Linked DNA regions of Mus musculus. The protein of the gene in region 1 interacts with the protein of each later gene in a pairwise test. Links are inferred from orthologs where the notes say so. Each region holds a gene or a part of one and is shown on either strand. Other genes may lie near its edges. The genes, in order: Tnni3 and Tnnc2.

Evidence for each region.
Region 2: the proteins of Tnni3 (region 1) and Tnnc2 interact in binary tests that used the Homo sapiens proteins (3 or more experiments, as listed by UniProt). The two-hybrid records come from large-scale screens. The link is inferred for Mus musculus from reciprocal best matches to the Homo sapiens genes TNNI3 and TNNC2.

What each region holds. Positions count from the first base shown.
Region 1 is NC_000073.6:4,519,543-4,523,913, reverse strand, and holds the start of Tnni3 (troponin I, cardiac muscle), read left to right. Parts: upstream 1-1,385; 5' UTR 1,386-1,598; coding exon 1,599-1,609; intron 1,610-1,831; coding exon 1,832-1,844; coding exon of another isoform or gene 1,845-1,868; intron 1,869-2,011; coding exon 2,012-2,098; intron 2,099-2,527; coding exon 2,528-2,569; intron 2,570-2,819; coding exon 2,820-2,951; intron 2,952-3,386; coding exon 3,387-3,476; intron 3,477-4,339; coding exon 4,340-4,371. Other genes in the region: Dnaaf3 (dynein assembly factor 3, axonemal), read left to right, coding at 55-598. UniProt on the Homo sapiens protein: Troponin I is the inhibitory subunit of troponin, the thin filament regulatory complex which confers calcium-sensitivity to striated muscle actomyosin ATPase activity.
Region 2 is NC_000068.7:164,776,795-164,781,390, reverse strand, and holds Tnnc2 (troponin C, skeletal muscle), read left to right. Parts: upstream 1-1,656; 5' UTR 1,657-1,725; coding exon 1,726-1,728; intron 1,729-3,163; coding exon 3,164-3,215; intron 3,216-3,303; coding exon 3,304-3,447; intron 3,448-3,545; coding exon 3,546-3,660; intron 3,661-3,782; coding exon 3,783-3,919; intron 3,920-4,057; coding exon 4,058-4,089; 3' UTR 4,090-4,230; downstream 4,231-4,596. UniProt on the Homo sapiens protein: Troponin is the central regulatory protein of striated muscle contraction. Tn consists of three components: Tn-I which is the inhibitor of actomyosin ATPase, Tn-T which contains the binding site for tropomyosin and Tn-C.

The DNA.
Region 1 (4,371 bases):
AGGTCACAGCTGGGCCAAAAGCCAGGTCTCCTCACACACAGTTTCCCAACATAGGTACTTGGTGGACCTGCGGCCCAAGGAGTTGAAGGCGTTCTCTGACCGCGTTGTAGAGATAGCGCGGGTGGCTGGGTTCGCCCCTCACACTGCAACCAAACCCTCGGAGACTTTTGCGAGGTTCTACAAGTTAGGGGACTCCACTCCGGGTGGCGGAGACTCAGCTGTGGAATCTGGACCCGCGCCCTCCAAAGTGGAATCTACCCGCGCCCCTCTCCCAGAATCGATAAGTCCGCCCCAGGCTAACCAGGCCCCCTCTCTAGAGGCGATGAGCCCACCCCTGGCTGACCTGGCCCCACCTCTAGAGACAATGTGTCCACCCCAGGCCAACCAGGCCCCTCCTCTAGAAGCGTTGAGCCCATCCAAAGCTGACCAGATCCCACCTCTAGAGGCGATGAGCCCACCCCAGGCTAAGCTAGTCCTGCCTGTAGAAGCAATCAGCCTTCCCCAAGCCGACCTGGCCTCTCCTCCGGAAGTGATAAGCCCACTCCAGGAAGCTATGGCAACGTCCTGGGTGAATGCACCTCCAAAACATGTAACATGAACCCCAGGGACCACGTAGCCCACCTTTAACTGCTGAAGCAGGCCCAGGGATTGACATCACCAGCTCAGCCCACCTGCATGCGGTTTTACTCTGCGTTCCTTCTCAACCCCAGGGATATGACTAGAACTTCAAATTCCTTTCCTGGAACTCTCGGTTGTACTATTTGGGGGGTAGGGGTGAGGGTGGGGGATGGGTCCTAGACTGTTATCTGAGACTTATCCTGACAAGGATCGAAGGCTGAAGGGACAACCCTGGGCTCCAGATCCTCTCTTTTGTCTTGGGCCTTTCTTGACATGCTGCTTTTGGGAAGGACAAGGGCATAGCCTTCCTTGAATGTGATTCAAATAAAAAGCGCAGGGTCACCTCTGTGTGTCCTGTCCTCAGTCGGTCTCCAGTGCCAAGAAGGGTGGGAGCAGCAGGGATGGGTCCCGATTGTGGGTTTGCAAGTGGGCTTGGCTGAATTTCACAGGAGTGAAGGATAAGATCCTTCAAACTAAACATGCCAGGGCCACTGAAACCGACAGAAACGTGGGGGAGAGAAAGGACACACTAGGTCCCAGAAAGACTGCAGTTCAGTGAGGGACCTAGGTGTGAGGACAGAAGGCCGGCATGGATTTCTGGGTATGAACATGGGAAGCTGAAGTCTAGACTCTTGGATTTGAGAGAAGAGGGACCTTGCTCCGGGTTTTCCTAAGTTTGAGGGAGGAGGGAGCTGGGGCGCTAGAGTCAAAGGAGGAGGGGTGTAGATCCTGGGCACCTTGGTTGACCCAACTGGAGCTTTGCACACGGCTCCCCTCACACCCTGTTATCGCTTATCCTGGGCAGGGGAGGAGACAGCAGTATATTTAGTCTTTGTCCTCGCCCCTTATCTCAGTGTCCTCAGTGAGGCTTGAGCAGCCCAGAGGAAACCCAACCTCTAGAGACCTCCAAGGTCACCAGGGACACCCTTCCAGGACCCTCCAGGAATCTCCGATCCTGTTCTCTGCCTCTGGAGATCATCATGGCTGATGAGTATGTGAATCTTCGTAGCCTTGGGGTGGAGACCTCAACAGGGAGAGGTGCGGTGGGTCTTGAGGGTGCAACCAGGTTGGATACTTGTCCTGAGAGAGTAGGAGGCAAGGGTGGTTGGATTTCTGTAGAAATGAGGTAAGAATTTGGGAATCAGACTCCTGGGGTTCAAGAGTCAGGGGACCACCATCAGTGATTTCCTCTTCACGGTTTCTCTCTCTTCAGGAGCAGCGATGCGGTGAGCTGTGAGCTAAGAAGTGGGGTAGGGAACCTTCGGTCCAGAGTGGGTGCTGCAGGGAGAGGACTGGGGACCAGTGGGCAGGGGAACCTGCCGCTAGAGGTGAGGTATCCAGGAAGGGCTGGATGGGAGGGTTTGGGTAGTGATGTAGCCTGCTTCAATTCCAGGCTGGGGAACCGCAGCCTGCGCCTGCTCCTGTCCGACGCCGCTCCTCTGCCAACTACCGAGCCTATGCCACCGAGCCACACGCCAAGGTGGGGCGGGGTCCAAGAGGATGGGCTTCTGGGTTCAAGAATCCTCTGAGACCCAGAAGGGGGCAGGACCAAGGCCCTGGAAAGGGGTGGTAGGGTGATGGGCAGAGCCCTATGGGTGGGGCAGAATTTCAGAAAGGTTCAGGTTGGGCTTGGTGACAGCGGCCTGTGGTTGGGGGGAACTTGCCTACAGCAAGGTTTAGGCGTGAGCGTAGTGGTTAGCAGTGAATAGATAGGCAGTGCGTAGCTCTAGTCGGAGACAAAGATTGGTAGATGGGACCGAGGAGCGTGGCTTCCAGTGGACTCCGCGTTCTGGTTGAAGAATGTCTGACCCGAATGGGTATGCACTCGAGTGGGTCGTGATGCCTTGCAGCTCCACCCAGTGTCCACTTTGGGACCTCACACTGACCTTTCTCCATATCACCTTGGCAGAAAAAGTCTAAGATCTCCGCCTCCAGAAAACTTCAGTTGAAGGTGATGATGAGGTCGCAGTGGGTGGGCTTGGGTGGGCGGAGCTTTGGGGGAGTGGTTTCGCTTCCGGAGTGTGTCAGTCCCCGCCTCCCCCGCCCCCCCCCCCCACGTGCGCGCGGGCAGAAACGAGGCAGGTTTTGAATAAAAGACACAAACTTGGATGTTCGGATATTCTGTCTCTCTGGAGGATGGAGGGAAATTTGTTATTCTTATACTTTTTGGGACTCTGTTGTCTGCTCCAACCATTCCGCAGACTCTGATGCTGCAGATTGCGAAGCAGGAGATGGAACGAGAGGCAGAAGAGCGACGTGGAGAGAAGGGGCGCGTTCTGAGGACTCGTTGCCAGCCTTTGGAGTTGGATGGGCTGGGCTTTGAAGAGCTTCAGGTACCAGTTTACAAAGCAAGGATTCCGGATAAGCCTGGGACCCGAGGTTCCTCATCTCTGGCCTGGCATCCCTTGGGTATCAGGAGCATAAGCACCATCTCAAGTTCTGCTCAGGATCTGCAATCCTTATGCCAAGCAATACGTTCAGCCCTACAGCTTCAAAACCCAGTGTATTTCTCCAGCCTCTATCTGCCAGGTCTCAGAATTCTTAGTTCCCGGCCATATTTCTTTAAGTTCCCTGGAGTGCAGATTCCGGTGTCAGCTTCCTTTCACCCCCTCCTTCCTCAGACTCAGGAGTCCAGACCCCAGCACTCCTCTCTCAAACTCGGGGGTCCAGAGCCTAGGCCTCCTTCCTCAGACCCAGAGGTCTCCTCTCTCAGACCAGGGAACCCAATCTCCAGCCTCCCTCTCAGCATCCACGCGTTCCTTCACCAGGACTTATGCCGACAGCTTCACGCTCGGGTGGACAAAGTGGATGAAGAGAGATATGACGTGGAAGCAAAAGTCACCAAGAACATCACTGAGGTGGGGAGCCCGGGGAAGCCTGGGACCTTCACATTACACCAAGATCTCCAGACTGTAGCTTCGGGCTGGGGGCTATGGACTCTTGTGCTTGAGATAACTCTAAGCAGAAAGCAGGCAGTGGCACAGGTACCTCGTGGCAAAGGAAGCTGTCTCTGCAGAGTAGAGCCTGGGTGGCACAAACGGGCCTGTAGAAACTGAGCATTGAGTTGAGCTCTGGGACAGGGAATAATGATCTGCACAGAGTGGGCTCAAGTTGTGTTAGACGCTGTCTTAGTCACGGTTTCTATTCCTGCACAAACATCATGACCAAGAAGCAAATTGGGGAGGAAAGGGTTTATTCGGCTTATACTTCCATACTGCTGTTCATCACCAAAGGAAGTCAGGACTGGAACTCAAGCAGGTCAAGAAGCAGGAGCTGATGCAGAGGCCATGGAGGGATGTTCCTTACTGGCTTGCTTCCTCTGGCTTGCTCAGCTTGCTTTCTTATAGAGCCAAGACTACCAGCCCAGAGATGGTCCCACCCACAAGGGGCCTTTCCTCCTTGATCACTAATTGAGAAAATGCCTTACAGTTGGATCTCATGGAGGCATTTCCTCAACTGAAGCTCCTTTCTCTGTGATAACTCCAGCTGTGTCAAGTTGACACAAAATTAGCCAGTATAGACACTTTGCGGGATGCTGCTAGGAGCATCAGGAAGAACATGGAGGTGCAGGCTGGAGGCTTTAATCTGGGGCCAGAGCTGGAAGAAGATTAGAAACAGAGAGCAAGAAAGGGACAAGGGAGAATTGTTTGTTTGTTGGAAGGAAGGAAGGAAGGAAGCAGAGGGAAGATGGGGGCTCCACACCCCATATGGTCCTCCCCAGATTGCAGATCTGACCCAGAAGATCTATGACCT
Region 2 (4,596 bases), on another chromosome or scaffold:
AACCCTCTTGCTGTCTTTATTATTTGGAGGACCCAGTGTTCTTACCAAAAAGTGGGCCCTGAACGCCTTTCCCCTGGCTGAGCAGACCTGGAGAGAAACTTTCTCCAGTGCTCATTTCTCCTCACAATGTGAACCTCACTCTCTTTACTCTGAACACTTCTAGGTGGTCCCCAGAGTCATGCTTGTCCAAATTTTCCCACAATGAAGTTACATAAGAATTGGCAAGGCTTGCCCGGCGTGGTGGCGCATGCCTTTAATCCCAGCACTCGGGAGGCAGAGGCAGGCGGATTTCTGAGTTCAAGGCCAGCCTGGTCTACAAAGTGAGTTCCAGGACAGCCAGGGTTACACAGAGAAACCCTGTCTCAACCCCCCACCCCACCCCCCACCCCCCACCCCCCACCCCCGCAAAGAAAAAGAATTGTCAAGGCTGCGGCTCAGTGCTCAAGAGCACTTGCTGTTCTTCCAGAGGACCTTGGTTCAGTTCCTAGCACCCACGTGGTGGCTCCCAACCGTGGGATCTGGTGTCTCCTTCCGGCCTCTTTGGGCCCTAGGCATACACATGACGCACAGACATATGCGCAGACAGAACATCCATACACATTAAGAAAATTACGTTTTAAAAGAATCGCCAGGGCTGGGGGTGTAGCTCAGTGGGTAGAGTACTTTATAGCATGCACAAGGCTGAGGCTTGAATTCCCACCCAGCGCTATAATCTAGCATGCCTATAGTCTCAGTGACTTGGGAGACTAAAGCAAGAGGGTCACTTGAACCCAGGATTCGGAGGGCGGCTCACTTGACAGGGCAGACTCTTTTGCAAAATAAATCAAAGGAGTTAAACAGGGTTTGGTGGTACATGCCTGTAGATCGAAGCCCTCTGGAGGTGGAAGTAGGGGGATTAGAACCTCAAGGATAACGTCGGCTACATAAGGGGTTCAAGGCCGGTCTGCACTATATGAGCTCTGGCTTCCAAAGTGAGGGAAAGAATTCCTCTATGGACTGTATGGCTTCTGCTGTAGTCAGATGGGGATAATAATAGTTACCTTCATGGAATGAATAGTAGATGAGATCACGGAATCAAGATGCTCAGCGTAGTGTGGGCACAGGTTGTGGGAGTTCAATACATGGTGTCACTAGCTCAATGCTACGCATCACTTCCCCTAGGCACCCAGCACAAGCTAGGTGACTTAGTCATCTGGGCTCATGGTTGCCATTTCTATCTTGGAGGAAGGTGTGCCTTGAGGGCCCTCACCATCCGCCCACATTCCCGTGGCTCAGGGGGAGAACAGAGTCGGGAATGAATGAATTTTGGACGTCAAGCCTGGGCTCTTCCCATTCTGCTGTGCCCTCCTTCTGGACATCCTCCCCCATTTTGAAACACATGTGCTGGAGTGGGGTGGGGGGAGGAGCTCCCCTAAGACAGTGGAGCAGGGCGGGGCCCTCCTCCTAAGAATCCAGGAGAACGCCAGAGAGTGCCACCTGCTCCGAAGCTTAAATTTCCCTGCAAAGGACCTTGGCTAAATTAGGTAATGGGCTAGGACTCTAGGAGGGGAGGGGCTTGCTGCCCCCTGCATCTGATTGGTCAGGATATCCAGTTCTGGGGAGGAGGGAGGAGGGAAGAGAGGATGCCCCTACAAATCCTGGGGGCTAGAGAGATCTGGGGCACCTTTGGGTGGTGGAGTGCGGAGGAGACAACCCACAGCGGAGGAGTCCCAGTCGCCAGCAACCATGGTAAGGACAAGAAGGGTCTTCACACTTTTGTCCCCAGGCTACTTCTAGGCCCCTCTCTGTCCTAGAACTGTGTGTTCTGTGGGCAGGAATATGGACATCTGAAGGTGGAAGGGTTGCCAGAACTCAAGTCCCGAGGAGATGTCCTATAAAGGCTATGACTTCTCTTGGGTGGGGAAGGCTGGCCAGGATAGTTCAGGAATTAATCTTCAAGGTTTATGAGTTCCTGGCCACCTTGAGGTTTGGAACAGTGCTATTGTGCAGCCAGAGCTGTGTGGAAAGGTCTTAGCCTGTCTGCTTCCACGGAGAGATGGAGAGCACGAGGGCAGAAAAGTGACCCAGCAGGGCAGACACAGAGTAGGCTTCATAGGCTCAGCCAAGCCTGTGGCGACCCAAGAAGGAAGGCTTCCTCTAAGAATCCTGAGGAGGATGGTTAGTAGGGTGGGTACCCGGCCAGCGTTAGAGCCTCTGACCAGCCACAGAGGGGGTCTGATCTGGACCTGCCACTTTCTTCTGCGTACCCCTCCTACTTGACTTGAAGAAGTAATTGGACTCCAGAGACCAGCTGCCATTGCCCATGCCCAACTAAAAATAGCCTATCCTCCTGGATCAGGCCAAGGGCCGGAGGAGGGAAGGAGGAACTGGGCCAGCTGGCTGAAGGATGTCTTGGGACTCGTCACCCCTTCTTCACCATCCCGAGTCCAAAGCCCTGACCCAGATGGCCTGGCTTGGATGTGTCCCAGAGAAATTCACAGAAATCTTACTTACATGCTCACATGTGGCATGCCAGGCCAACCCGAGTGAGCTACATAGCAAGACTCTCTAAACACCAAAGCCAGAACGTTGAAATGGAACAAAGGGTTTTTATTTTCACACCAGGGCAAGGCTCCGTCACATTTGACATCAAGAGAGGTGTTTACGCCGATGACCGAGTGGGAAGTCTTGCCTCTGAGAACTGTCTGAGGCAAAGCTGCCCATCTCTTCTTGTGGTCTCAGCGTCCAAGCGCTTGGCAGATGTTCTGTGACTTTTGCATTCCGTTATTTAGTTGAGGACAAATATTCATTGACCAACTGGTCAAGTCCCAGGCAGCAATAGGAGACAGGGAAACTAAAAGATCACCAGTGAATGGCACTAACACACTCAAGCCCTCTCTCAATCCTGATTTCTTATTATCTCTACAAAGTCATAGGAAGAGTGACTTGCCAAAGGTCACTGTTGGGGTGGGGGTTCCCCGACTACTCTCTGAAGAAACTGTGGGTATAACCTGTGTCCCTTTGGCACTGGGGATGGGCACCAACGGGTACCTGGGAGGTACTGCTGGTTTGGAGTGGTTCTGGAGGACCCAGGGGCTCTTCCTAATACAAGAGGGGGCTAGGGAGGCTGAAGCTGGGGTGAGAGTCTGCCCTTCTACGCTCTGATTCTCTCTGCTTTCTACAGACGGACCAACAGGCTGAGGCCAGGTCCTACCTCAGCGAGGAGATGATCGCTGGTGAGTAGAGCTAGCCATTGGGAGAGATGCGGTGTGAGGCTGACAATCCAACTGGCCTCACCCATCGCTCCTCCTGTCTCCCCGCTAGAGTTCAAGGCTGCCTTTGACATGTTCGATGCTGATGGCGGTGGGGACATCAGCGTTAAAGAGTTGGGCACCGTGATGAGGATGCTAGGGCAGACACCCACCAAAGAGGAATTGGATGCCATCATCGAGGAGGTGGACGAGGATGGTGAGTTGGGCTCCTCCAGGGCAGGGGACCGGGAGGAGAGAGGCACAGGGCACCTTGGGCTAAGCAGGCCCCACATCTGCCAACCCCGATCCTTGCAGGCAGCGGTACTATCGACTTTGAAGAGTTCTTGGTCATGATGGTGCGCCAGATGAAAGAGGATGCGAAGGGGAAGAGCGAAGAGGAACTGGCTGAGTGCTTCCGCATCTTTGACAGGTGCGTGGGGCTTCCGGGATCCTGGACCTGAGAGCAGATGGAGCCCGTGGGCCTGAAGTGAAGAAGCAGGCTGGCCAGGGTGAGGTTGACCCTGTGTCCTTCTCTGTCCTTCCCTCCCAAAGGAACGCAGACGGCTACATTGATGCTGAGGAGCTAGCTGAGATTTTCCGGGCTTCTGGGGAGCATGTGACAGAAGAGGAGATCGAATCCCTGATGAAGGATGGTGATAAAAACAACGACGGCCGCATTGACTTTGATGGTGAGGGCCAGCTGGTGCTCTTGGCTTTGTGGGTGGGGCTGGGAATAGACTAAATTCCTTCTCATTCTATTGACGGTAACGAGTAGGCACCCGCTGTGCCCTGAACGGTACGCCTGACCTAGTCCCTCTTCTTCGCAGAGTTTCTGAAGATGATGGAGGGCGTTCAGTAAGGAGACGGTCTTTGTTCGTGTCCATCCAGACTGCAGGTCCCCTGGGCGTGGGCAGCTCCACCTTTGCTTTCCCTGCCTCACACGGGAAAGGCTGCTCCTTTGGGCTCTGTGACTGGAAGGAATAAAAGTTGACAATGTAAAGCTGGCTTGACCGACTGATTGAGGGCAAGGGATCTTAGGGACTGCCTGGCACAGAGCAGCTGGGTATGAAAAGAAGGAGGGGCCACGCGAGCCGGAGGCTTGGGCGGCAGAGAGCTGGGCGGAGCTCGCAGGTTCGCAGCCGGCTACCAGCAGCTGGAGCTAGCAGTGGGCAACTGGACAAATGGTCCACCCTTGCGCTTGGCGCTGGAAGAGGGAGGTCCCAAGGTGAGCCGGCCGCCTGTTACCTGGGACGGATAGGGTAAGGGTGTGCGGAAGCTGGAACCAGGTAAGAGGCAACGCTTCTTTCCCCCCACCATTTCTGGAACCTCTTGGATCTTGGGTGTGGTACGTTCACCCTCTGCAGGC